2 linked regions of the Arabidopsis thaliana genome follow. The protein of the gene in region 1 interacts with the protein of each later gene in a pairwise test. Each region holds a gene or a part of one and is shown in the gene's direction. Other genes may lie near its edges.

Region 1 (12,530 bases):
CTACATTTGTAAAAGAGACTCTCTCTTCTTCTTTTGGTCTATCAAAGATGCAAGAAACCCAAACGAAGTTGTCTCTGAGTGTAACACCAGTTAATGCAAATGCCCCACTCCCACAGAATCCCGCAATTCCTCTAGGCTTGATTGCTCCATATCATCAACAAGCAAAAGACATTAACCATATGTTACAGGTTTTGATCTGTTCTTATATATTACGATGATATTTTTATGTTTTTCATCAACATATATTTATAGTTAATATTCATGCATGTGCAGAACCAGATGACAAGAGAATTGTATGGTCAATTAAGAAGTCTCGAGGAGAGAGCCATCTTTTGTGTGAGGGTAAAAGACAAAGTCATCGAAGATATGAAGAAACAATGTGGAGAAATGGAGATTCGTACGAGAAAAGCGTTAGCAGAAGCAGAATTTTGGAGGAAGATGACGAATGAGAAAACGGACTTGTGTAGAGACCTTGCGGGGAGACTTATTGAAATGAAAAAGAGAGAAAGGGCGACGAGACGACTGGGGGTGAGGGAAATGGCAGAGAAGGCTGAGTCGTCTACTGGTGATAATGGTGACGATGTTGTAGACACAGCAAGAACCCGTTTGTGCAAACGACGCCGTCTTTGAAAGAATGAGTCGGGATTTGAGGTTGTGACGTTTTTTAAGCATGTGTGTGTGTGAAGATGACATCATCATGATGTAACTCGGTGTGGTTTATCATTGTACCCACTTCCTAGACATCTGAGTTTATAAAGGGGAGAGGGAAAATGTTTGATAATATCATTCGGTTATATGTTTTAGTGCCTATATATATATTTGTTACATGCGCACTTTATTTTTGAACATGAATAATGTAAACCATGCTACGTTTTATTTTTCTTTTTCAAGATTATTTAACAATTTGGTAATGCAACCTAATACATATTATGATGGGGTTGAAAGCCTAATATTTAAAAGCTATCGCAATGATAAATTGTTGCTAATTTTCCACAATTAATGAAGATGATAAAAATTTCAGTTTTTATAGTTAGACATAAGTTCATATGAAGACTTCTTAGTGGCACATAGGTAATGATATGATTTGTATGTTTGTAGATAAGCTGTAATGAATTTTCTAATTGGACATACACACACGGGAAAAAATTTAGGATTCGAAATGAAAAACCGACACATTTTCTTTTCTTTATGTTTAGTATACGTGAAAATGTTGACGACTAATTTTCTTTTAGTGGTTTGGTACAAACATTTAAAAGGATATGAACTGATCCATATATAGGGACTAGCAACTTTTTCTCGTTTCAATCCATATAATTTAATGATTATAAATCAAGAATTAGTATAATTATAATAACAAATGTTGCATTAGTTAAAACTTATAATGATTGTCTAAGATTAATGGACAATATGGTTAGTTGTTGCAAAGGTAAGGAAACAAAGGAGCGCGCAAACGACCAATTTTTTCAAATTCCCTACGAAATCAGTTTTCTGGTGCCGGTTTTAGGGTGGATACGATCATACAAGGCGAAACACATGTGGACAGGTGGATAAAAACTTAGTCACGTCTTGCAAAAACATTAACTGTGTGCTGCAATGTTTAGTATTCGAACTAAAACCACCGTATAGGTTCGTTGTAAAGTAAAGTCCCTATGCACGACATAAAAAATCAGGTCGCGAAGATGAGTACGCAACTACGCATAGTTGATCTCTTAATTAAGGAACAGAACAAAATTCGGTATATGTCTGATCTAATGAGAAAGAGACATGAATTAATGCGCACCTGTTAATTGTTGTATCGTCGTGGATGTGATTGTATCATTTAATACTATTCTCTTAATTTCTGTTTTTTCATATAGTTTATTGACTAGTATATGAAAATAAGTGATTTGTGTGAATGTCATTGTTATATTATCACTTAGATTAATCGCCGTATTTTGTTAAACATATTTTACCATATGATCGTTTATACTAGGATTTGAATATAGGATTGGAGCCAATTTACCTTCGTACTGCTAGTGCGAATCATTTCCTTTGTTCATTACCTCATTTTTAAAAAGTATTATTTTGTTCGTTTACAAGTTGTACCTTAATAATCATTTCGGATTTTATTTCGGACCATAGCTTAAAAAATTAGAATTTCTCGGCATTCAATTAATCAGGACTATGCCTAAACAGGAGAATGAATATTTACATTCTTATAAAAAAAAAATTATACAGGACTATGCTTAGCTTGTTTGATTAATATTGCTAGAAAAAAAAAGTACTAGCTTTAATTAGATAGCATAGTAACGTAATTGAAAAAGCGGTTAGGACCTTAAACAAGACGGTTGGAAACCGTATAATGTAAATTTACAACCGCTTTATTTATCAAAATAAGCTATTGAAATGTTTTTTGAAAATCTTAATACTTCATATTTTAAAAGACAGTATTATGGATTTTTCTGTTGCAAATAATATGGATGAAAAACAATGTGACTCATGAATACGATCGAGCATTGCAACTGCTTAATTAACTTTTGACTTATCACTACACGTTCTTCTGAGTTCAAACTACCAATTTGTATATGGAAAAGAAAAGAACGAAAAAGAAAAGAAGTCCTTAAACCGGTACCGATAGCTATCACGGGTACTTTAATTAAATGTTTAGGCTTTTATATGATTATATATCTCTAGGCTCTATAGCTGTTTTGAGAAGATATATATATGGAAACTTTACGTGTTCATTTTCTCGAATTTTGAAGTCTTTATTTCATAATGTGTTTTCTTAAACTCAAATTGCATTTACTGCTACACCGGTGAACAGATTGTGGCATTATGGGTCCTATCTCATTTAATACCGATGTTAACACCTATATCGGGAAGACATTGATAGAGTTTGAAAGAGCATAACCACGTGGGGACGTCGACAATTATTTGGGGAATAGTTGATAGATTAGTAATAGTATCTACTCTATCATTATATATAGAAACTAATAAACATTACTACATTAGTTTGTAAGAAAAAAATCTAAAACATTAGTATACGTTGGTAATAGTATATAATGTAACAAACACATCTTTTGGTATAAAACTACAATTCATAAGACCTGTGTATATATATTTTTAGTCGTATGAGCAATTGTACGATCTACAAGACTTAATTGGCTCTGTAACAACCAAATATAGGAAATACTTGTACAAAAACTGGAAGTGTCAGTATTTTAAAATTCAGTCTCAGTTTCTTAAAAAGCAATTGGTGAAATGTTTTAAAAAGGTGACAGCATCTGCTTCTCTCAATTTCACTCCAATGTGGAAGTGAAATAAACTAAAACAGTCAGTACGTGAAGTTAGTTATCCTTTGCTTTTATTGCCAATCCGTAACAACTTTACATTTTATGATGATTCATTTTTTCTATTTTACTAGATAATATTATATACTAATTTCTTAATCAAAGTCCATGTGATTGAATGAACAATCATTTTTTCTCTTCTGGTTATTAGCACAATCATATATATTACTATAATCTTAAATTACAATTGACTGAATGAAGGACAATCATATACATTACATACATTTATGATCGATTTTCAAATATAAATACATACTTATATACTAGTTTAGACTTAAATTAGTGGGTGGACACTAATATACGTCCCATTAAACCTTTGTGTTTCTTTAAGAAAAGGCTATGCATAATTATGTTGGATATTGAAAAACCTAGGAGGATTAATTCTTTATTCATATTTCAATCAAACAGATAAGTGTGAAACAAAGTTTATAGGGATTTTTGGCATTTGTTTCCAAAAGTACATTGTTAATTATCAAAAAGTGTGATCCTCTAACCATAACACGTACTTAGATATTAAAATAACATGTAGACAAAAAAAATGTCAATGTCTTCAATTAATGACAACAACTAAACCATACAAATCACGTAGACATATATGGATATATAAATATCTACGTAGGAAACGAGAGGAGGACTATTTACATCCATCGTTCCAAGCTTTTAAAGAAGCAATATTTTTTGTGTTTTGTTTTAAGTTTTAACACACAAACACATTACCTCGAATTCGATACGTCATAGTAATTAGCAACTATGGAACGATGTCGTTCTGGTCATCATCGCATCATTTCTTATTATCTCTCTTCTTCGTTGATACTATTTTGGTGTATTTTCGTTCTCGTGCTGTTATCTACGACAAGTACTACAAATGCTTTAGTGAAAATCCCGAAAAACACGACCGTTCCGGCGGTAATAGTGTTCGGTGATTCAATTGTCGATGCCGGGAATAACGACGACATGATAACAGAAGCTAGATGCGATTATGCTCCCTACGGCATTGATTTTGACGGTGGAGTTGCTACGGGAAGATTCTCTAATGGCAAAGTCCCTGGTGATATTGTAGGTTAGTTTGCCTGTAATTTTATTTTCATTAAAATTTTCATTGTAGTCTTACACCTTGCATTCTTTTTATTGGATAGCTATATCTATCGAATGCATGAACTTGATTAATGATTTGCAGTCCGTGACTAGTTTGATTTTCTTGCTCTATAAAATGGTGTACAATAAAGTTAAGCACACAAAGTTGCCACTTTATAATAATTCAAAAATAGTAAAACACTTAAACAAAACAAAAAAAGAAGAATATCAGAAGTGATCTAATAATTATATTATAATTTTCATAACTCATTTGTTTTTACAGCGGAAGAGCTAGGGATTAAACCCAATATACCGGCATATCGAAATCCGAATTTAAAACCAGAAGAGCTCTTAACCGGTGTAACATTTGCTTCTGGTGGTGCTGGTTATGTTCCTTTGACAACCAAAATAGCGGTAGTTAATTTTGAGTACCTATGCATAATTTAACTTTATCTAAAGAAGTTATGTTAAAATAACAACAATTTCTGTTTATCTTGTTAAAGGGAGGAATACCTTTACCACAGCAATTGATATATTTTGAGGAATATATAGAGAAATTGAAGCAAATGGTTGGAGAAAAGAGGACAAAGTTCATAATCAAGAATAGCTTGTTCGTTGTTATATGTGGTAGTAACGATATCGCCAACGACTTCTTTACTCTCCCCCCGGTCCGGCTACACTACACCGTCGCTTCTTTCACCGCTCTTATGGCCGACAATGCTCGTTCTTTTGCTCAGGTAAAGACAATTTACAATTGTAACTTGTAAGGTTGGTAATAAGGCAATAACTAATGTCACGAATAAGGTTAGTAAAATGTTGTCTTTATTAAAACTTGTTTTTATTTATGTGGTGGCAGACACTCTATGGATATGGAGCAAGAAGAATACTTGTATTTGGTGCACCACCAATAGGATGTGTTCCTTCGCAGAGAACCGTAGCAGGAGGACCTACAAGAGATTGTGTTGCTAGGTTTAATGATGCAGCAAAACTTTTCAATACTAAGCTCTCTGCAAATATTGATGTCTTGTCAAGGACTCTACAAGACCCAACAATAATCTATATTGACATCTATAGTCCTCTTCTTGATCTCATTTTAAACCCTCATCAATATGGTAATCAATCATTATTACTTTATTTTCAACATATTTTTAACATCCCAAATCTGTTTTTATAATAAAAGATTAAAAGTGTATATATCTTTATTATGAATCTTATAGGATTTAAGGTGGCCAATAAAGGATGTTGCGGAACCGGATTAATAGAAGTTACTGCGCTATGCAACAACTATACAGCTTCTGTATGTCCCATAAGATCTGATTATGTGTTTTGGGACAGTTTTCATCCTACTGAAAAAGCTTACAGAATTATAGTTGCAAAGCTTTTGGATAGATACCTCAACAGATTCTTCTAATCGATATAGCTCCTATTTCTTAGCATGTTCCATACACTTTTAAATAATCATTTCAACTCAAAGAGAGAATTACACTTCTGTCAATTTTCTCTTTTTCAAGGCTTGTAATGGTCTCTTATGATATTTGATGGTTATATATATACAAGGTTATACTTTTATATGCTTTTTTTTCTTTTCACAAAGGCAATTTTTGTTCTTTTTCCATTTTCAACGAGAAAGATTGATTATAACCCTCAAAATCACTTGTCACAGTCCTGATGGAGCTTAGCCTTACTGGCACTGCACATATGAAAAAAAAAAAGGAAATCAAAAAGAGAGGCAAAAACAAATAAACAATTACATAATAAATATCTTTAATAAAAAAAGAGAGGTGGTAATTAAGCATAAGGCCCAAGGTTGACAAAAACAAATTATGTATAAGGCCCAGTTAAATCTGATGACGCAGGCCCGAAAGCAATTAGCCAATTAATGTTTTTCTTCGACAACTTATTGACAAATATAGTAATTTCTTTTTTTTTTGTTTTTTTTTTTGACAAATATAGTAATTTCACTATGCCCAAAATTTATTTTAGTTGAAGAAAAAGGGTTTACGATGCTAACCTAGCTAGTTCGTTATTAAATGTTCTAGACTTGACTATTGGCCATTTTGAATAAAAAGTCCTCATATGTTAAATTTTCACATGTCGATCCAAGCTCTACATATATATATTTACTCATCATTCCAAAAGCTTCCAAAGAAACAAAGAGTAACAATGAAACGAAACAGTATAAATATTCATCACGTTACTTCTTTTTCTTCGAGTCCGTTTTGGTGTGTTTTCTTTCTCGTGTTGTTATGTAAGACGTCCACCAACGCTTTGGTGAAGCAGCCGCCAAACGAAACGACTCCGGCGATAATTGTGTTCGGAGATTCAATCGTTGATGCCGGAAATAATGACGACATTATGACAACGTTGGCTAGATGCAATTATCCTCCTTACGGCATCGATTTTGACGGTGGAATTCCTACCGGAAGATTTTGCAACGGCAAAGTTGCGACTGATTTTATAGGTAAATTTCACGTTGCTTTCTCAGATGTAATTTTGATTATATTTCGAGAATTTCCCCAATAGATAACAACTAAACACACACTTTTAGTTGCATTTGTGTTTTGTGAACACTCTGAAAACTTCTCAAGCCTGTAAACTGAAAAGAGACAAAAAATCTATAGAAAACCTTTTATCAATAAAAAAACAAAACAAAAAACTTATATAAAAGTCATTTATTGTATCGTACGTAGTGCTGAATAATATCTAAGTGACTGACTAGTGTTAAAACTGTTAATATGTATGTAATTTACATTATTGACTAAAGATATACGTATGGTACACAAAAAAACTCCAGAAAATGGTACCATCACAAAAAAAAATTATTATATTTTACACAAATGATCTTTCTTTTTTTTCCAAGTTTTCAATATGTGTCATTTTCTTGAGATATAAAAACTCAAAAGCGAAACATCAAAGAAATTAAGGACAAATGATATAAATTTATATAACTGGTAATAGTTATTTTCTCTTGCAAATCATAGCGGGAAAATTCGGAATTAAACCAAGTATACCGGCATATCGAAATCCAAATTTGAAACCAGAAGATCTCTTAACCGGTGTAACATTTGCGTCTGGTGGTGCTGGTTACGTTCCCTTCACAACCCAATTATCGGTAATCAAACTTCTAAATCTTACACTATCTATAAAACAAAATATGATTACTTCTAAGCTGTAATTAGACGTACCTTTTTATATATAAACCATTGTTGTTCTTAAAGGGAGGAATAGCTTTATCGCAGCAACTGAAGTTATTCGAAGAGTATGTAGAGAAGATGAAGAAAATGGTTGGGGAAGAAAGGACAAAGCTCATAATTAAAAACAGTTTGTTCATGGTTATATGTGGCAGTAATGATATAACCAACACCTACTTTGGTCTTCCTTCTGTTCAACAACAATACGACGTCGCTTCCTTTACCACTCTTATGGCCGACAATGCTCGATCTTTTGCTCAAGTACGTATGAAAATAATTAATGAACTATCTCCTTATTTATATAGTATCAAATTTAATGCTCACGTTTGTCGTAAGAGTTTATTATTGACGTAGAAATTTTAATATTTTGCTTTGATTACCTTTACCCTTTTTATCTTTCTAAACCTTTTGAATGATGTGGTATTCACAGAAATTACATGAATATGGAGCGAGGAGAATACAAGTATTCGGTGCACCACCAGTAGGATGTGTCCCATCACAGAGAACCTTAGCAGGAGGGCCAACAAGAAATTGTGTTGTTAGGTTCAATGATGCAACAAAGCTCTACAATGTTAAGCTCGCTGCAAATTTGGGTTCTTTGTCAAGAACTTTAGGAGACAAGACAATAATCTACGTTGACATATATGATTCTCTCCTTGATATCATTCTTGACCCTCGACAATATGGTAATCGTCGTTCGTATTAATATAAACAATTAATTTTCAAATTAAAATTTCCATTTTATCAAAAAGTTATTGAAATTGTATGTCATTCATTAATGTAACAGGATTTAAGGTGGTTGATAAAGGATGTTGTGGAACTGGACTAATTGAAGTTGCTCTTTTATGCAACAACTTTGCAGCTGATGTATGTCCAAATAGAGATGAATATGTGTTTTGGGATAGTTTCCATCCGACTGAGAAGACTTACAGAATTATGGCCACAAAATATTTTGAGAGATATGTATGATCTCGACAATCGTGTAAGTCATAGCTTGATTTATCGTGTCTTTTGATGTTTATTATCTTATTAGACGTGACCTCGAAATGTTTTTCCAAAAGAATATGATTTATGTATTTTGAGACAATTTCCATTCGACTGAGAGAAGCCTTAAAAACTATAGTCGTAAAAAAAAGTTTGAAAAATGTCTACAAAATTTAATAATATGTGACACAATAGATAAGTAAAAATGATTGATATGATTTTTTTTTTTTGAACTATCACCTCTTTTGCTGTTTGCAAATTGCTGGATGTTTTCTCGGTGCGTTTGCTTTCTCTTATGCCTGTAAATCTTCTTTTTTCTTACGTCGAACTATTTACAGTTAATCGCTTGCGGCATGATCCAATGCCCATCTCTTGTGTGCCATCTCCAGACAATTAAGATAACTTTGCGTATAAATTTGTAAAATTTGGCTATTACCGAAATTAAAATGCTGGTACGTTGCTAGTAGGAGTTACCCACCACCATACCTATTTGTTACCAGAAAGCCCACAATTATCGAAGGCAATATAGCCCAACAACAAAGAACTAATTTGAACTCAGGAGGTTGAACGAGAGGCCTAGAGCTGAGAGCCCACTCAATGAGAAAGAAGAAAAGGTCAAGTTGAAACTTGAAACTTGAAAGAGCCTATTCAAGCGATGGAGCTGATTTGAGATATTGAGTTGAGAAGACATTTTTTTTTTTTAAAAAGACATAATATTATTAGCTGTTGTTTCAATAATTGTTTGCTTTACTAATTCGAGAAAAAACCCTAAAAAATTGTTATATAAGAAAATCGTAAACTTAGGTCAAATGAAAAGATATAGATTTTTTTAAAAAGTTGATTAATGTACGTACCTTAAAAATAGATATAGGTACAGCTCTGTTTCGACCACATATCTAAACTTGAAGATAGCTTATTAGGCCATGCACCATTTGTCACGACTGGTTCGGCCTATTAATTCTTTAACACCCACATTACCGGTAAAACTAAATAAAATTAAGACCGAACATTTTGATTTTTAGTATATGAAACAATTGGCTGTAAATGTAATAGAGTAAGTCACTAACCATCTCACTCTAAATTATCTACCACGCGATAGGATCAAAATCTTGACCTATTAAGTCTGTGAGTAATATTGGACCCACTAATAAATGATCAAATTAATTTCAAAAACAATAATGAATGCTTATCAAGTCGAATTCAAAACACAAATGCCTTCAATTTATTTTTTGGTTTCGTTGGTCTTCATTATACATGGAACTAGTTAGTTGGTCATTACTCGAATTTCTCGCTGTCGAGTTATTACTATATATGAATTCAACTACGATAGTACATGGTCTATCTTGTGAATACTATAGACATAGTATAGCATCTATAATATCGTTGTTTTATGTATATCAAAATTGCTCGTTTTATAATCTTTTCCTACGGATTAAAATATTATTTGAGCATGCATCGCAAACATTTCTTCTAATTTAACAAAATCACTTAAGATATTTTAATCCACTATTTTTTTTTTGGCAGCCTGTAAAAGAAAAATTATAAATATTGCAACTATCTACAAATTAATGTAGTATGATATTCATTTAAAAGATGAAAAGCAATATAAGACGGATAAACCCTAAAGCATTTGAAGATATTTATATATTTTTTGTTTGTACATGTTTATAGAAGAAACATAATTATGTTAGATAGTGGTTGGGAGATAAGATAATATGGTTGTGTGAATCATTAAATTAAATTTCACATTCTAGTAGCCTTGCCGATATATCATAGTCTTAATTAACTAGCATGATTTTTCGGATACTTGCGCTCTGCCTTACTATTTATATTCTATAATTATTAGTTTTGGACCATCGTTATGTTCTAGCATTAACAGCAACTTCTCTAGAAATATGCTAACATTTTGCTTTTGATATATTTTTAGCCACAATACTTTTTCATCGTAAAGTCTTTTTTGTACCTTTTCACGTGTACATATTTATAGAGAAAGTTACCTTCTTCACACTCAGTTAACTGGAAATAGTAGTATCACCTATTGCTTGTGATCTACATCTACCCTCCGGTCCCTACGTCTTAGTTCATTTTTTCTTTTTCTAATTCGTTCTTATCATATGATTCGCTATGTCGGTTTTAATTTATAGGATTCTAAAATATAATTAAAACTAGATATTGATTTATCCAAAAAGAAAATGATATGTTATGCTAGAGACCAAAAATAATACCAACAAAATATTCTATATTGCTGAGCTTGATGGGCTCTAGAAGTCTTGGTTGTATTAATTATGATGACCTACAAATATGTAGTTTGGTAACAGTTTACATCACATGCTCAAAGATTTTAACATGAGATTCTTAAATTAAATAGTATTACTAATATCATATTTTTTAACGTACCATGATTGTTATATGAGATTCTAAATACAAATATCTACTATATATGTAGAGTAATTAATACCATAAGTTTTTGATAATAATTGAAGTTATACTCATTTGTGCAGAGATAGATTACTTGTAACACCGATGTTATGACTTCAGAAAACATTCAAACACTCAAGTCAAAATGGTCGGAAAAAAAGAAGGTTAAATAACCGCATTATTGATATGATATGTAGTTGTTTATAACTTTGTGTATTTTGAAGTGCTTTTAATTTTTTTGAATTTTCCATGTATTATCTCTCTTTTAACGTATATGTGAATGTCTTCTAAATTCATTGGATGTTACTCAACAAGATTCTGATACTGTCATACTGAGTGTCTGAAATATAGGGCCATTTAGTTGTCAGTCACTCAGTCTGTTGTAGGAGTCACAAATAAAGTAGATCTACCTTAGTTATCCTACGAAACAGAGTATGCATTTTGATTATGTTGGTGCAATATATTTGATGTATTATCCCAAAGAGATGCATATGATATGTTTCATCAGATATTGTTTTCCGTGGAATGGTAGTGCTAGTTTTTTTTTTTTTTTTTTTTTTTTTTTTTTTTTTTTTTTGTGTGTGTGTGTGGTGATTTTCTGGCCGAGGCGAAGATTACTCTTTCAAAAATCTCTTAAAAATTCAGATTTTACTTATCGCATCATAATTGACAAAAACCTAATAACTAAAATATAGACAATGCAATTTACATTCAAACGAAATCAGTTCCAGTCAACCGAACTATGAGCACACTGACGTAAATATGATATGAGCACAACCAAATGTCTAAATCTACATTTAAGTCAACGAAATTTAACTAAATAAAAATAAATAAAAGTTTTTGATGTAGCCTTATTTGAAGTAAATTTAGTGTATATAATAAGATTAAGTAACATTTTACCAAAAAAGTAACAATAATAAAATATCATGAATTTATGTTTTTTCCCCAAATCAAAATAAAACCTACTCTTTTATGAAATGACTATCTTTTAGTGGCAAAACCAAAATATGAAATGGAGCAAGCAGAGTATTTAATGCTCCTATAAAGTCTAGAAACTCTGACAGCGATTAACTAATCCCCTCTTAATTAGCGTTGATACACATACGCACTATATAGTAATATTACCTGTCTGTCATATAATCTGTCTGTCACATTCTGCTGGCAATAATGTATTTCGATATACGCCCTAATAGTTATGTTTTGTCAAAAGTAGTCCTTTTTTTTTTGTGCACCAACCTAGCCAAGTATATATATGTGAAGAAAAAAAAAGACTGGTAATCTGGTATGGTTGAGAGAGAGTACACTATCTAATTTAAACAAAACCAAAAAATAGAGAGTAGTGAGTACACTATCTCAGTTTTCTCGAGGATTATTAACAAAAAGTGCATTTTAATTAATACTCACCCCTTCAAATTATTAGAAGAAAACACCTAGTTTCAAGCAGTTAATTCGGTCTTGTCCTAATTAAGTCTACCGGTCCACAACATCTCCACGACCCAATGCATTACACATATACATTATAAATAAATACATA
Region 2 (12,530 bases), on another chromosome or scaffold:
ATAAAAGATGAAAGGAATTTTTAAACTTTATTATTTTGGTATTTATTTATTTATTTATCAAGAGAAATAAAATTAATTAACTAAGAGATAATGATGTGTTATCCTTGTAAAACTGTATTATCTTAGTATTTATTTTTCTATGAAGAGAATAAAATTAATTAATCAAGAGATATTGATGCGTCATCGCTAAAGAGACTTCCTTCATTATTTTTATATAGGGTTCCGTACTTACTATTAAATTTCTTATATTTTATTTTCTCTTTATGTTCTTGGTAACCTTTTATATATATATATATCTCTTTTTTTTTTTAAGACATGTTTTGGTTTTACTGATTTCAAACATATGTAAGAAGTTAAATTATAATATTAATATGTGTCGCATTGTCGTTAAACTACATAAACATATCAAAACTATGTATATTAAGAATCCATTATAAGTAAATATTATTTATAACCCAGCCAGTAGGTTGGAAACTTGCAGTCACATTGTTTTAATCATCTCTACTGTAATTCTGAACTTTTTAAGTTTTTTTAAAATGGTTAGTTATTTTAGGATGTGATCTGCTAAACAAATATATATATAATTTCACAAATTCAGAAACTTGTATTGCTTCTAGACTGAATTCATTAAAACTTTAATTTAATTGTAATTATTTGTAGGAGGAATTTACATTCAAGTTTCGATCAACTGATGAAATTGCGAGGCAAAAAGCTCTAAATTATGTCTATCTTCTTCCAGGTACGTTATCACAATCTAATGGTTATGTTGAGCCAAAATAAACTATTTGTTATTGAGAAAATTTTAAACAATCGTGTATATATATTTTTTTGTTAGGAGTTAGTTCTGTGACATTTTGTGAACGAAGCAACTTACTAACCGTGAAGGGAGAAAGAATCGATAAGGCTAAAATAATGAGGAAGATAGATAAGATTTTTCAACCTAAAAATTCGTTCTTTTCGTGTTTTAGTCCCAAATACTAGTACATGGTGTTTATTTTTGATTTTACATTTATAAGAGTATTTGGATTTAAGTAGTAGTTTTCTGATCAATTGTCCCTTTTAGGAATATTTTCTAGAGAAGTGTTTGGTTTTTTATAAACTTAAGTCATATTAGTCTACTCGTATAATGTCTTATCAAAAGAAATCTAGTTCAGATTCAGATAATTAGGAAAAGAGTAAGACACACATGTCATAACCGAAAGAAAAACATATTATAACCTCATAACTAAAATTCTATACCTCCCCAAAACAAACACCATACGAGTTTAAGATAATAGACATAGATAGATACACGGTTTAATGTGGAAACGTTGAAAACCATAGATTTTCGATAGCCGGAAAAGGAGGTTCCACACTCTCCATCTGATTGGTCAGGTCTGGTCTGATCCGGTCCAACTCGGTTTGGTTCAGTTTATGTTTGGTCTAGCTGACATAGGGAGGGTCCATGAAAACCCACTGAAAAACTTGCTCATACTGAACGGCAGCGTTTTCCCAAGAGTAGTTTCGGGTCATTCCTCTTCTCATCAATCCTTCCCATGACTGTTTATACTCTCTGTACGTTGCTGCAGCCAACCTCAAGGCCTGAGATGTATGTAACACAACAAGGTCATATACCCACAAAAACCATAAACCACAAATCCTCTTGAGAAATGGGGAGTTAGATAAACTTACCGAGACCATGCTATCTTTCGACAAGGGAGTGAAGACCCACCTGAAACATTAAACCCACAAAAGAACGATTCATAACAACACAAATCATTTGAATTTGATGATTTTTTTCCTTTCTCAAAAACAGATTTGTTTATTACCCTGTACCAGTACCAGCTCCACCTTCTGCATAAGGGTTGAAATTCTCAACCGTATCCTGAAAACAATCATGATCCAGTTATAAATCATTACCCTTTTAGTACCAAACTATTCAAAACAATTTGATTGTATTTATCCGGGTTCTTGAAGATTTAAAGAAACTCACTCTGAGTCCTCCAGTGCCATGAACAACTGGAATGGTTCCGTATCTCATTGCGTATAGCTGATTTAAACCACAGGGCTCGAATCTCGACGGCATGAGAAGAATGTCACAGCTGTTTATCGATAGTTTTCAAGACAAACAAACAAAAACAATCCAATGAGATATTTGTGGCACTGTGAAGGTTTTCTACAACAGTTCCTTTATATGAATCATATGATAATCCATAGAATAGATCTCCCTGGACAAAGCAAAGATTCTCTATTGATTTTATCATGTCTTCTGGAATTTTTGAAAGTCTAAGCTAGAATGATTTGTTTTTACCCGGCTGTGATTCGATGAGAGATGGGGACATTGAACCCAACCCAACCACGGAATTTGTCTCTGTATGTTTCCTCCATACTTCTCATCCAGCTTTCATATTTTGGGTCACCCGAACCAAGCATGACCTGCAAGCAACCAAACCACATTAAATCATATCAACAAAGATATCTCATAAAAAGAAACAACTCTCTTTGACTGAAAAAGGAATATTAGAATGCGGAAAACCACTACAGATTCCAGTAAAATTTTCCAATTCTGCCTCAGATTTAAGAAATGTGCGAAAACAGCTACTAAATACAGGAGATGAGAAATGTGTATCACACATGTCACTGGTACTGCATGTGTTCCAGTTAAACCGTTCAATAGACTCACTTACGAATTGAATGTCATCCACCATGAGATCAGGACCAGCGGTTTGGATCAGATCAATGCCCTTCTGGTAATCAAGTCTTCCTATAAAACCAATCTGTAAAAAGTATTAAAACATTCAAGCTACATGAGTGATTATAAGACAAAATAGAACATTTCTTATAAAAATAAAAGTGGCTTTGAAATATCACCATAGGACATTCAGGCCTAATGGGGAGACCCAATTCCTTTTGTAGTGCCATCTTGCATTTGATCTGCGATTCCCAAAGCAGATACAAAAAGTGAATTCCACCATAACAAAGCATCGGATTTTGGCACTTTTACTCAAGAGAACTTCACATCACCTTCTCGGAGACATCATCAGCAGAGTAATGGAAAGGAATGTGTTCATCCGTGGATGGATTCCATTCATCAACATTAATTCCATTTGTGATCCCTGTAAACATCACCGGAATATCAGCTCAGAAAGATGTTTTAAGTGAAAGATTATAAAAGTCGGGGTTTATAGAAACAAGTACCATTTATAACACTTTTCCGACTAGAAAGCAAATCTTGAAGACCATAACCACCTTCAACAGTAGTGATTTCCCATGCATAGCCCTGAAAATACAGAAAACAAATCCCAATCAGAATACCAACCCACACAATGTCAGAATCATTACCGTAAGTGAATGTGGTCATTAATATCAGGGATTATGTTTACAAAAGATTCATCACCTGGCTCACAGTAATGATACGGTCAGAGGTCACAATAGCACCCTTGAGAACATTAACCGCTTCACCGGTGTCAAGGGCATGAGTTCTTGCCCACGTTGGAAATACCCACCCGACTGCTCCATACCATTCCGAAGGCAATCCCAAGTTGGTGTATGTAGCTGCTGGCTCCACCCCCTTTTAGGAAAAGAGCCAATTTATGAAATAGAAAAATAACCTTTCAACTTAATCAAACACAACATACATAACTAACTAATCACAGTAAGCTAACTATGGGGCATTATACGAAACTTACAACTATATAAAAACCAGAAGAAGAGATATTACATATACAGGTCTGGAAAAATGTTTATGAATTTACCTGATGAGCGAGGTTATGGATAATGAGAATGCTTCTTGCATCCTTATAAACTCCATATGGGCGATACTTTGCGGCCAAAAGTCTGGAATAAAAGAAGATACACGATATAAGTTTCAATGTCCACAAATCAAAGCAGGATTCTGCACATCCGTTAAAAGATAAAGCCTAGAGTATAAGGTAAAGAGATCAAGAAAAGGTTACATGGGAACAAGGCCGGCATGCCAGTCATTGACAAGGAAGAGTGATTTCTCTCCATAAGTGAACCCTCCAAGAGGCAGCACGAGAGGGGCTTCACATGCAGCATGGCAAAGTAACGTGAACCGAAACTGTAATCAGAAAATGTGTGAGACGACGCACTTTTGTTGTTTTAAGTAGACCACATGACTTAAAACATAACATTTACACAATAAAAGAAAGTTATAATTATAAACCAAAGTCTTTCTTTGGACAATGTCAACAGTAGTACCTGATTGTCACCAAAGGCTCCTTTACTATCTCCGTAGGGATTACCAGGTCTATGGTAGGATTTGTGATCAACAAAAACCTAAAGACAGTTTACAAAAACAACACAAAATGTTAAGCAATGGCGTTTGTCAAAACTCCACAATAATTTATGCTAGAAGAGATTAGTGGTTACCCAATCAACACCATCTCTATACTCATGATAGAAGGAAACTTCTTGAGAACCACCAAAGCAATTTACTGTTACACGTATCCCCAAATCCTTAGCCCGGGCATAGTTCTTGTCTGCAGCAGTTCCATTTAAGTACCGAGGAGAAATGACCATAACACGATGCCCACGACCAGCTAAAGCTATCGGCAAAGAACCACAAACATCTCCTAATCCTCCTGTTTTCGAGTAAGGAGCCGCCTCGGATGTAACGAAAACAAGGTTATTGACAACTTCAGCTTTTCCACTCGGAATCCCAACCTCTGCAGCTCCTTCTTCAACAGCTCTATTTCCAGGTACGCCAAAGTCAGCCATTACAATTTGATCAATAGCCTCTTTCTTCTCTTCATGATGTGTAATTTCTCCTGTGCTAGTGCTAACTGTTTGTTGATCACCTGTACAAGGAAAAATCGAGTTCATCTTCGAGATTCTGAGCAAAATCGTGCTACTTTATATCAGAATTTTTTGAATATGAAAGATTCTGAAATTTGAAAAACGTAATAGCTTTGAATCTGAGGACCACAAGCAAAATTCAAGAGAATCATTCACTTTTTACAAATTGAAATCACATTCGATAAACCATCACAAAATCCCTAGATTATGCACAAATCAGAGAATAAATCACTGTTCGTTGAGGAAATTGGAAGAAACACTATGAAGAACTCAATCACGAGTTTAACGACATTTACCAGGAGGAGTGAGCTGAAAGCCAAGAACGGAGCCAGAACCATCTCTCTCTGCGTCTGTGATAAATCTCTCTTCATCAGACTCACGAGAGTCACCGGAGAAGGAAGAAGAACGACGAAGCAACAATGACCGTCCGATACTGAATCTCCGTCGAAAACGAGGAAATCCGAGACTGGCGATCGGACGGAAATGGCGGATCCGGTTGAATCCAACGAACGGCTCGAATTTAACGGAGCCACTGATTTGAAGAGACGCCATTGATCAATTAAAGAGTGAGAGTTTCTTCGACTGTTACAGATTTATGTTTGATTTCGTCTGGTTGTTGGGGAAGATTGAAACCACCTGTGGCCTATCTACTACGTAAAGAATCTCCTTCCAGCTTCGCCGACATGCTTCCAAAACTTTAAAGTTAACCACAGAGAAAGAGTACACTAAAACCTTTATTCTTTGCCAAAACAAATTTTTTTTTTTTGTTTGATATTTTAGTATGAAACAGAATCAATTTTAATTTTATTCCTTAAAACACATTATCATTTCCATAAGAGTCATAACCAACATAAATATGTAAAAATTTCGAACCAACAAAAATAATTTCAATAGTTGCAACAAATATTTTCTGATCTATGCAATTTTTGCCTTTGGTTTTATAAAATTTACTCTCCGATATTTTAATGGTTTTATTGTCCCAAGAGGATCTATCAGAAAAGCGCGAAGATCAAGAACGAGTAAAAAAAAGATCACACACTTCTTGCCGAAATTGGAGCCTCATATTGTGCCACGTGTAAATTAGTGGGCTCCAGTTTATGTGTTCCAGCTTTATGGTGATTTACTTGGATTGGGCTTTTGGTTAATTTTATGGGCCGATTATTGTGAATGAAATATATAGGCCCAAGAAACAAATGTCTAATGGGCTTCATAATAAATAAGAAGTCATTAACTATACACGTTTTGAATATGGTTCGTTGTTTCCAACTAACTGTAACGTTTCCCACTTTCCTCGTCATTATGAGTTATTAAAGAGTTGACTACTAGTATTTTTATCATGTGATATTCATTTTCTGTAGTAATTTATTTTACGTGGTATCATACTATCACAGTTTGTATTTATTTAATCAATATTGCACCTTTCGTATTACTTCTAATATTTTTTAATCATTTAAAATCATTTTTCTAAAACCTTATGGATCAATTTCATGACATATACTGATGACAAAAAGAAGACATATACTATACCACACAATTTTTTTTTTTTGTTTTGAAACTGACATATATTAACATGTTTAAATAGAGTGCTAATTAACTATGACACCTTCCCTAATTACCAAAATCCAAAAGTAATCCTCGTTACGAATATTTAACCCCTCGTGCTTCCCTCGTGGGTATTATTTATGTATATATATAAAAGATCATATGATTGGACACGATAATTAGGAACAACTGTGTTTTTTTTTTAAATTTAAAAAAGAAAAAAGAAGAAAAGAGAGAGAGAGACTCACAAATCATAATATCTCCTTCATTAACTCATAATCACTTTAAAGAACATTGGAATCAGATTCATTACATAGGGATTGATATGGAAAAGTCAAACCAACCAGTTCATGTAACCTTGTCCGAATTGAAGGACGGAGATAAAGAAATCGTTGATGCTGAATTTTTGGTTGATCTTCTTGAGAGCTATAGATTTGGTAAAGATAATGTTCCCGCCCGAGAATTTCGATCCAAGGCGGCAGCGACGGCTCCGGCGCCGGTCAACACCACCGAGATAGAGTTGGAAGAGGATAATGATGGATCTCAAGCTCAAGGTACATTAGTCAACTTGTCAGTTTCTTACATGTTTTTTTGTCTTTTAATTTTTGGTACCTCTACTAATTGGTTAGGATCCTAATTTTTAACCGGACACAAACCTGCTTAACCGGTAGATCAATCTCTCGTTTATTTTTGGTATTAATTGCCATCGTAGGTAACAATTCTGTTAGTGAAAGTACATCATCGCTATTTTCCGATTCAGATCCAATAGTACTTGAGAGTACTGTGAGCGAAACCGGTTCAAACGAAGAATCTGAAACCGGTTCAAACGAAGAAAATGGTAATAATTGGTTAGAGTCGAGCTCCACAAACTTGCCAAATGTAGAGAACAAAAGGCAACGGAATGGAGAAGATTGTGAGATAGAAGAGGAAGAAGAAAATAACGAGAGATCATTATCGGATTCAGAAGAGAAGTCAAACCTAGAGAAGTTGCTTGGGACACAAGAAAACTATGAGCTTGGAAATGAGGATGAAGAAAAGAACGAGAGATCATCGTCAGATTCAGAAGAGAAGTCAAACCTAGAGAATTTGCTTGCGACACAAGAAAACTACGAGCTTTACTGTCCTAGCTGTAGCACATGTATCACCAGAAATGTGGTTCTCAAGAAAAGAAAACGAGGGAAGCACGTTAATTCATCTCTGGATCTGAAACCCGATATACCGGTTGTTGAACCGGACGAACCAAGCGACATTGAGGAGATGGAATCACCAGTTAAGGTTTATGTCCCTGAGACTCGGATTGAGGATGATCAAGAAGATAAAGAGGGAACTATCTTTACTTGCTTGGTTTGTGATCTAAAGTACTTCATCCGGTTAGGTAAATCAAACCTTAATTAAACCGGTTCTGAGTCAATTCTTTCCAGGTTTTCTTGGTTTTGTAAACTTGATGGATCAACCCTGGTTTTATATTTTAAATTTCAGGAACAAAGTTCTTACAACTTGATTATATCAGGGGAAAACCGGTTGAGAAATCAGGTATGTTATCGTGAATTGAAACAAAAATATTACTCCTCTCACCTAAACCGGACTAGACAAATTGATTTCAATTTGGGAAAAAATCAACAACGGTTTCTTTGATCATAAAAAATGTTTATAGGCTTATCTTTGGTATTTGAATATTCGATAGAACTACATATATTTTGTACCCAAAGAAAATTTGCAAACTATATGCAGTTGAAGAATATATAGATGTGAGGAAGAGTATAAACACCACACAATCACCACCACAAATTCAACCGGACGGAGAAAGATTCGCCATTGAGTTGTTAAAGAGCACCGTCTACGGCGGTCTCACTGAGACCATCACCAGCCTCGGCGTTGTATCATCTGCTTCTGCCTCTGGTTCCTCCACCAGTAAGTCTCTAGACTCCATTTTCCTTTTAGTTAGCAAACAAATGCGAGATTAGTTTATCGGCTATCTAATCATCAGATTGGTCCTTGTTATAAATAGTAACACTATATAATAATTTCGTCTATTATTTTTTGTTGTTGTTTCAGTGAATATATTGGCTCTTGCTGTCGCAAATTTGGCCGGTGGGCTCATCGTCCTCGCTCAAAACGTAATTACTTGAACCAAAAAACGTTTTCTCGTGCCACAGATTGCCTATGGGGTTTCTTATTTTAACCGGTTCGGGTTTTTTTTTATTGCAGTTTCAAGATCTAAGAAACAGTTCAGATCAAGAGAAAGATAGGTACGAGGAATTGTTAGGGAGACGTACTAAATCCCGGATACATATCTTAGTAGCGGTCATGTCTTACATTTTCTTCGGCCTAATTCCTCCGTTAGTTTACGCATTTTCCTTCTACGAAACCGGAATCAAGAACTACAAGCTCATCTCGGTTTTCTTGGGTTCTCTGGTTTGCGTAATTTTGCTCGGTTCGATCAAGGTCTATGTCCGAAAACCAACCAATTCATGTGGATCGACTAAAGCTTATCTCAAATCTGCGGCTTATTATACGTCTATTGTTGTTGCTTCTTGCGGAATCTCATACGTTGTCGGAGATATTATGGGAGAGTATATCGAGAAGCTCAGTTTGGTTGGTTTAGACCAGATCAGTATAACTTCACCATGTTATGGAATTAAACCCGAGGAGTGCCGGTTTACTTCCTTTTAATATACAGTGGGACTAAGAACCGGTCTGACCAACGTTGTATAATTTCTGTTCTAATTACTTACTAAATCTCTGTATCTTTTCTAGTAAAAAATCAAAACTAATGCTTTCATAGAATAAATGTGTTTTGAGGTTTTTCTTTAATGATGTCTTATCTCTTTCCGAATGAAATAATCGGAATGATGCGGTTTAACTGCGGATAAGATACAGTAAAATTTAAATAGTAACAAAGATATGGTTTCGTCACCATTCAAACTATGTGTATAACAATGTCAAGCTCCATAGGTATATAAGATTTGTATAATTGTAATTGAGGAGAGATTTTGACATGTTATATTGTTAGCCATATACAACAACTTTTTATATATTTAACCAGTTAGTTAAATCGTTTGATTCATTAAAAAATGAAATTTATTTATTTTTAGTAAAAAAATAAAAGATAAAGATATCTTTTGATCAATAAATACAGTCCACATATATATCAAGTCAACAAAATAAGATCATACTCCCAATTTTTACTCAAAATATAATGTAATTAAATGCTAAAGATATAAATGTAAATACAATGTTTTGGGTAATTTGATGTGACGACAAATAAAAAGAAGAAAGTATTAAGCTGACGTGTGATAAAGGAAGTGCGTGCGCCCGAAGCTTTCACACCCATTACACATTTTACTCTCTCTCACAGAGTACACACTGTCTCTTCCTCTTCTCTACTCTTTCTTCTTCCTGTTTCTCTGTCGTTTCTTCCAAACAAAGATTCTTTTTTTTTTTTTCCTTCTGGGTTTTAGAAACAGAGAGTCACTCTAAAGGTAAAAAATCACTCCTATTGTTTCTTCTTAATAAGGATTTCAGATAAATTTTTTTTCTTAAAAAGGTCGACTTTTTTTTCCTGGTTTCGTTTTTTTTCGTTGATCTCAGAGAAATGTGTTCTGCTTTTTAAGTGTTCTTTCTGATTTTCGTATTACTATGATTTAAAAACAAAAAAAATCTAAACTTTTCTCGTCTACAGCTTCCCAAAAGAAAAAAAGTGAACTTGGTTTTAATATTGTGTTTATTTTCTCTTCTTCGTTCTGATTCAGTCTTATTCTTCTGTCAGATTTTGTCTCCTGGGTTTTTTGGGAGAGAAATCAGTCGACGAAGCTAAGGTATATATACTCTCTCTCTCTCTGATTCTCTGTGTTGTTGTTGGTGGGTTTTACTTTACTGAAAATCGAAGCTTGATGTGGAATTGATTAGCAACTTAAACCCTAAGTATTCGTTTGTCTTAGGTTGGAATAAAGTCTCTGTTTTGCAAATACCCAATTTTTATTCCTGTCCTGTCTTCTTCCATATCATTGCAGTGTATCTAAATGCGAGTTACTTACTATATCGTCTGTATCTTCTTCCATTTCGAGACTCTCTTTACTTAAATTGCTGCTTTTTTTTTAAGAAGCCTATGCGTTTGTTATTGATAAAGTTGTAGCTTTTCTTCACGATTTGGCCTGTTACATTTTCATGTTATATGCAAAATTCTGTGTACATGCGTGTATGTTTAGTAGAAGTGTAGAACAAGTACTAGATTGATATGATATTCATAGCTTAAATCTGTGAATGCCTTACACAGTCCTTTTGATTTTCAATCGTTTAGAGGCAAGGAAGAAACAGTTTGTACTTTTGATGCAGCAGTCTTTCTTGTAATTGTTGTAGGTTCGTTATAGTAAATCATCAATAATGATCTAAAACCATTCAATAGCTGTGAGACTAATTCAATTAGAGTTCTTAGGAATCAATAATTTCCATGTTTAGCTTCCACTGTAATCCTTATCGTGCCTAATTTGTAATTCAAAAAAGTTAATCAGTTTCATGGTTGTTTCTGTCTTTGCATTTCAGATGAGCAGCAGGCGATCAGTGAAGAGATCATTGGTTCTTGATGATGATGACGATGAGGATATATTCTACAACTTCAAGGTCCTTCTACCTAATGGCACTAGTGTGAAACTCACACTGAAAAACCCAGAACCGGAGATCTCGATGCAGTCTTTTGTCAACTTGGTGAAGAAGGAGTATGATAATGCACGAAAAGATTGTCTTTTGATGTCTAAGAGGATGAAGGTTGATTGGAACTCAGGCGGAAAGTTTCATCTGGAGTCAAATGGTGGGAAGATGAAAGGCATTGTTCGCTTTGCTGCGTTTAAGCCTGACTTGTGCCACATAATACGTCTTGATGTGAGTTGTTCTTTCTTTGTTCAAGTCTTTGTCTCTTTTTGTTCCATCTTCTTATTTCTGATATTTTCTGCCTCAATTTCTATGTATGGGTCAGGACGGTTCTGGTATAGCTTCCACCATGTATGAGGTCAGTATTATTCTTCTGAAACATATACGCTTATTATCTCATTGTCTCCTTAAGTTGGTCTGTGATGATGGTTTACAATTGTTTTTTGCAGAACTTGTGGGATTTGACACCGGATACTGACCTACTTAAAGAGCTACCAGAAAATTATAGCTTTGAGACAGCTCTCGCGGATCTAATAGTAAGTGTTTCAGTAAAATTACCTGCAAAGATAGAATGCCTAATGCAAAATTTATGTTTGTTTGAGGCAGCTTTCGCGGATTCACATTGTTGTATTTGCTTGTTTGATTTCTGAAGTAAATACCATGCGTTTCACATTAAACGACAATTTTTCGCAAGTGGATTCACTTACTCTCGATTAGTAACTAATTTTGAGATTATTTCTCGTTTATTCCTGATATGGAATCCTAATTTTTCTGTTGCTTGATTCACAGGACAATTCCTTGCAAGCTGTGTGGCCTTATCGTGAAGGAGCTCGAAAACTGATTAGGTTTGTTTTTATGATAGGAGGTTAAATGACCAAGATTGAGTGTAACCCTTCACCTCATGTGATTATTGCAGTGTGGATATATCTGGTGACCATATTACAGTCTTTGATACCGGGAGAGGAATGGACAGTAGCGAAGGAAACTCTATTGATAAATGGTGAGATTGTTTCTTCAATTTCATTCAAATGCTAACAGAACATAGAAGATATTGATAACCTGTTACCCATATGATCGCTAGGGACGGCTATTGGGTTATGATTATGAACTGAGAAAATTGTTCTATAGAACAAACAACTTCACATATTTTACGTATTGAGATTGATATTGCAATCAAGTGTTCTTTACTCAAATTGATACTGCAGGTTTGATTTTTTGGTGAACATTCTTCACATTTGGTTTAAATTATGCAGGGGTAAAATAGGGGCCTCACTACATAGATCTCAAAAAACCGGTGCCATTGGAGGCAATCCACCATACCTTAAGGTATTTCATTAGTCTCAAAGAGCTTAGGTTCATTTCCTTCTTGCAATTTTTAACTTTTGTGTTTAAAATATTAGACGGATAGTTAAGTACTTTCAGTCAACATATGGATGACTCTGTAGACATGTTTCAGTATGAATGTTCTTTCTGTATAACTACCTGTTATCTTACTGATTTGAAGAAAGATTTACTCTTTTTCTATGTAGCCATATTTTGGGATG

Evidence for each region.
Region 2: the proteins of AT1G75880 (region 1) and MEB2 interact in a two-hybrid assay, tested with the Arabidopsis thaliana proteins (one large-scale study listed by BioGRID).

Annotation. Positions count from the first base shown.
Region 1 is NC_003070.9:28,486,485-28,499,014, forward strand, and holds AT1G75880 (SGNH hydrolase-type esterase superfamily protein), read left to right. Parts: upstream 1-3,964; 5' UTR 3,965-4,079; coding exon 4,080-4,389; intron 4,390-4,686; coding exon 4,687-4,820; intron 4,821-4,906; coding exon 4,907-5,140; intron 5,141-5,259; coding exon 5,260-5,515; intron 5,516-5,620; coding exon 5,621-5,814; 3' UTR 5,815-5,980; downstream 5,981-12,530. Other genes in the region: AT1G75870 (uncharacterized protein), read left to right, coding at 48-188, 274-630; AT1G75890 (GDSL-like Lipase/Acylhydrolase superfamily protein), read left to right, coding at 6,480-6,864, 7,385-7,515, 7,622-7,855, 8,025-8,280, 8,382-8,563.
Region 2 is NC_003076.8:8,259,753-8,272,282, reverse strand, and holds MEB2 (Vacuolar iron transporter (VIT) family protein), read left to right. Parts: upstream 1-6,534; 5' UTR 6,535-6,664; coding exon 6,665-6,893; intron 6,894-7,051; coding exon 7,052-7,714; intron 7,715-7,818; coding exon 7,819-7,872; intron 7,873-8,070; coding exon 8,071-8,250; intron 8,251-8,394; coding exon 8,395-8,456; intron 8,457-8,547; coding exon 8,548-9,012; 3' UTR 9,013-9,151; downstream 9,152-12,530. Other genes in the region: SS1 (Glycogen/starch synthases, ADP-glucose type), read right to left, coding at 1,423-1,581, 1,672-1,711, 1,809-1,864, 1,973-2,081, 2,291-2,415, 2,667-2,756, 2,851-2,913, 3,004-3,095 and 7 more; GMI1 (gamma-irradiation and mitomycin c induced 1), read left to right, coding at 10,882-11,217, 11,312-11,344, 11,436-11,522, 11,776-11,831, 11,903-11,986, 12,240-12,312, 12,516-12,530. UniProt on the Arabidopsis thaliana protein: May sequester excess cytosolic iron and manganese into endoplasmic reticulum to reduce metal ion toxicity. Not essential for the accumulation of ER body components, including PYK10.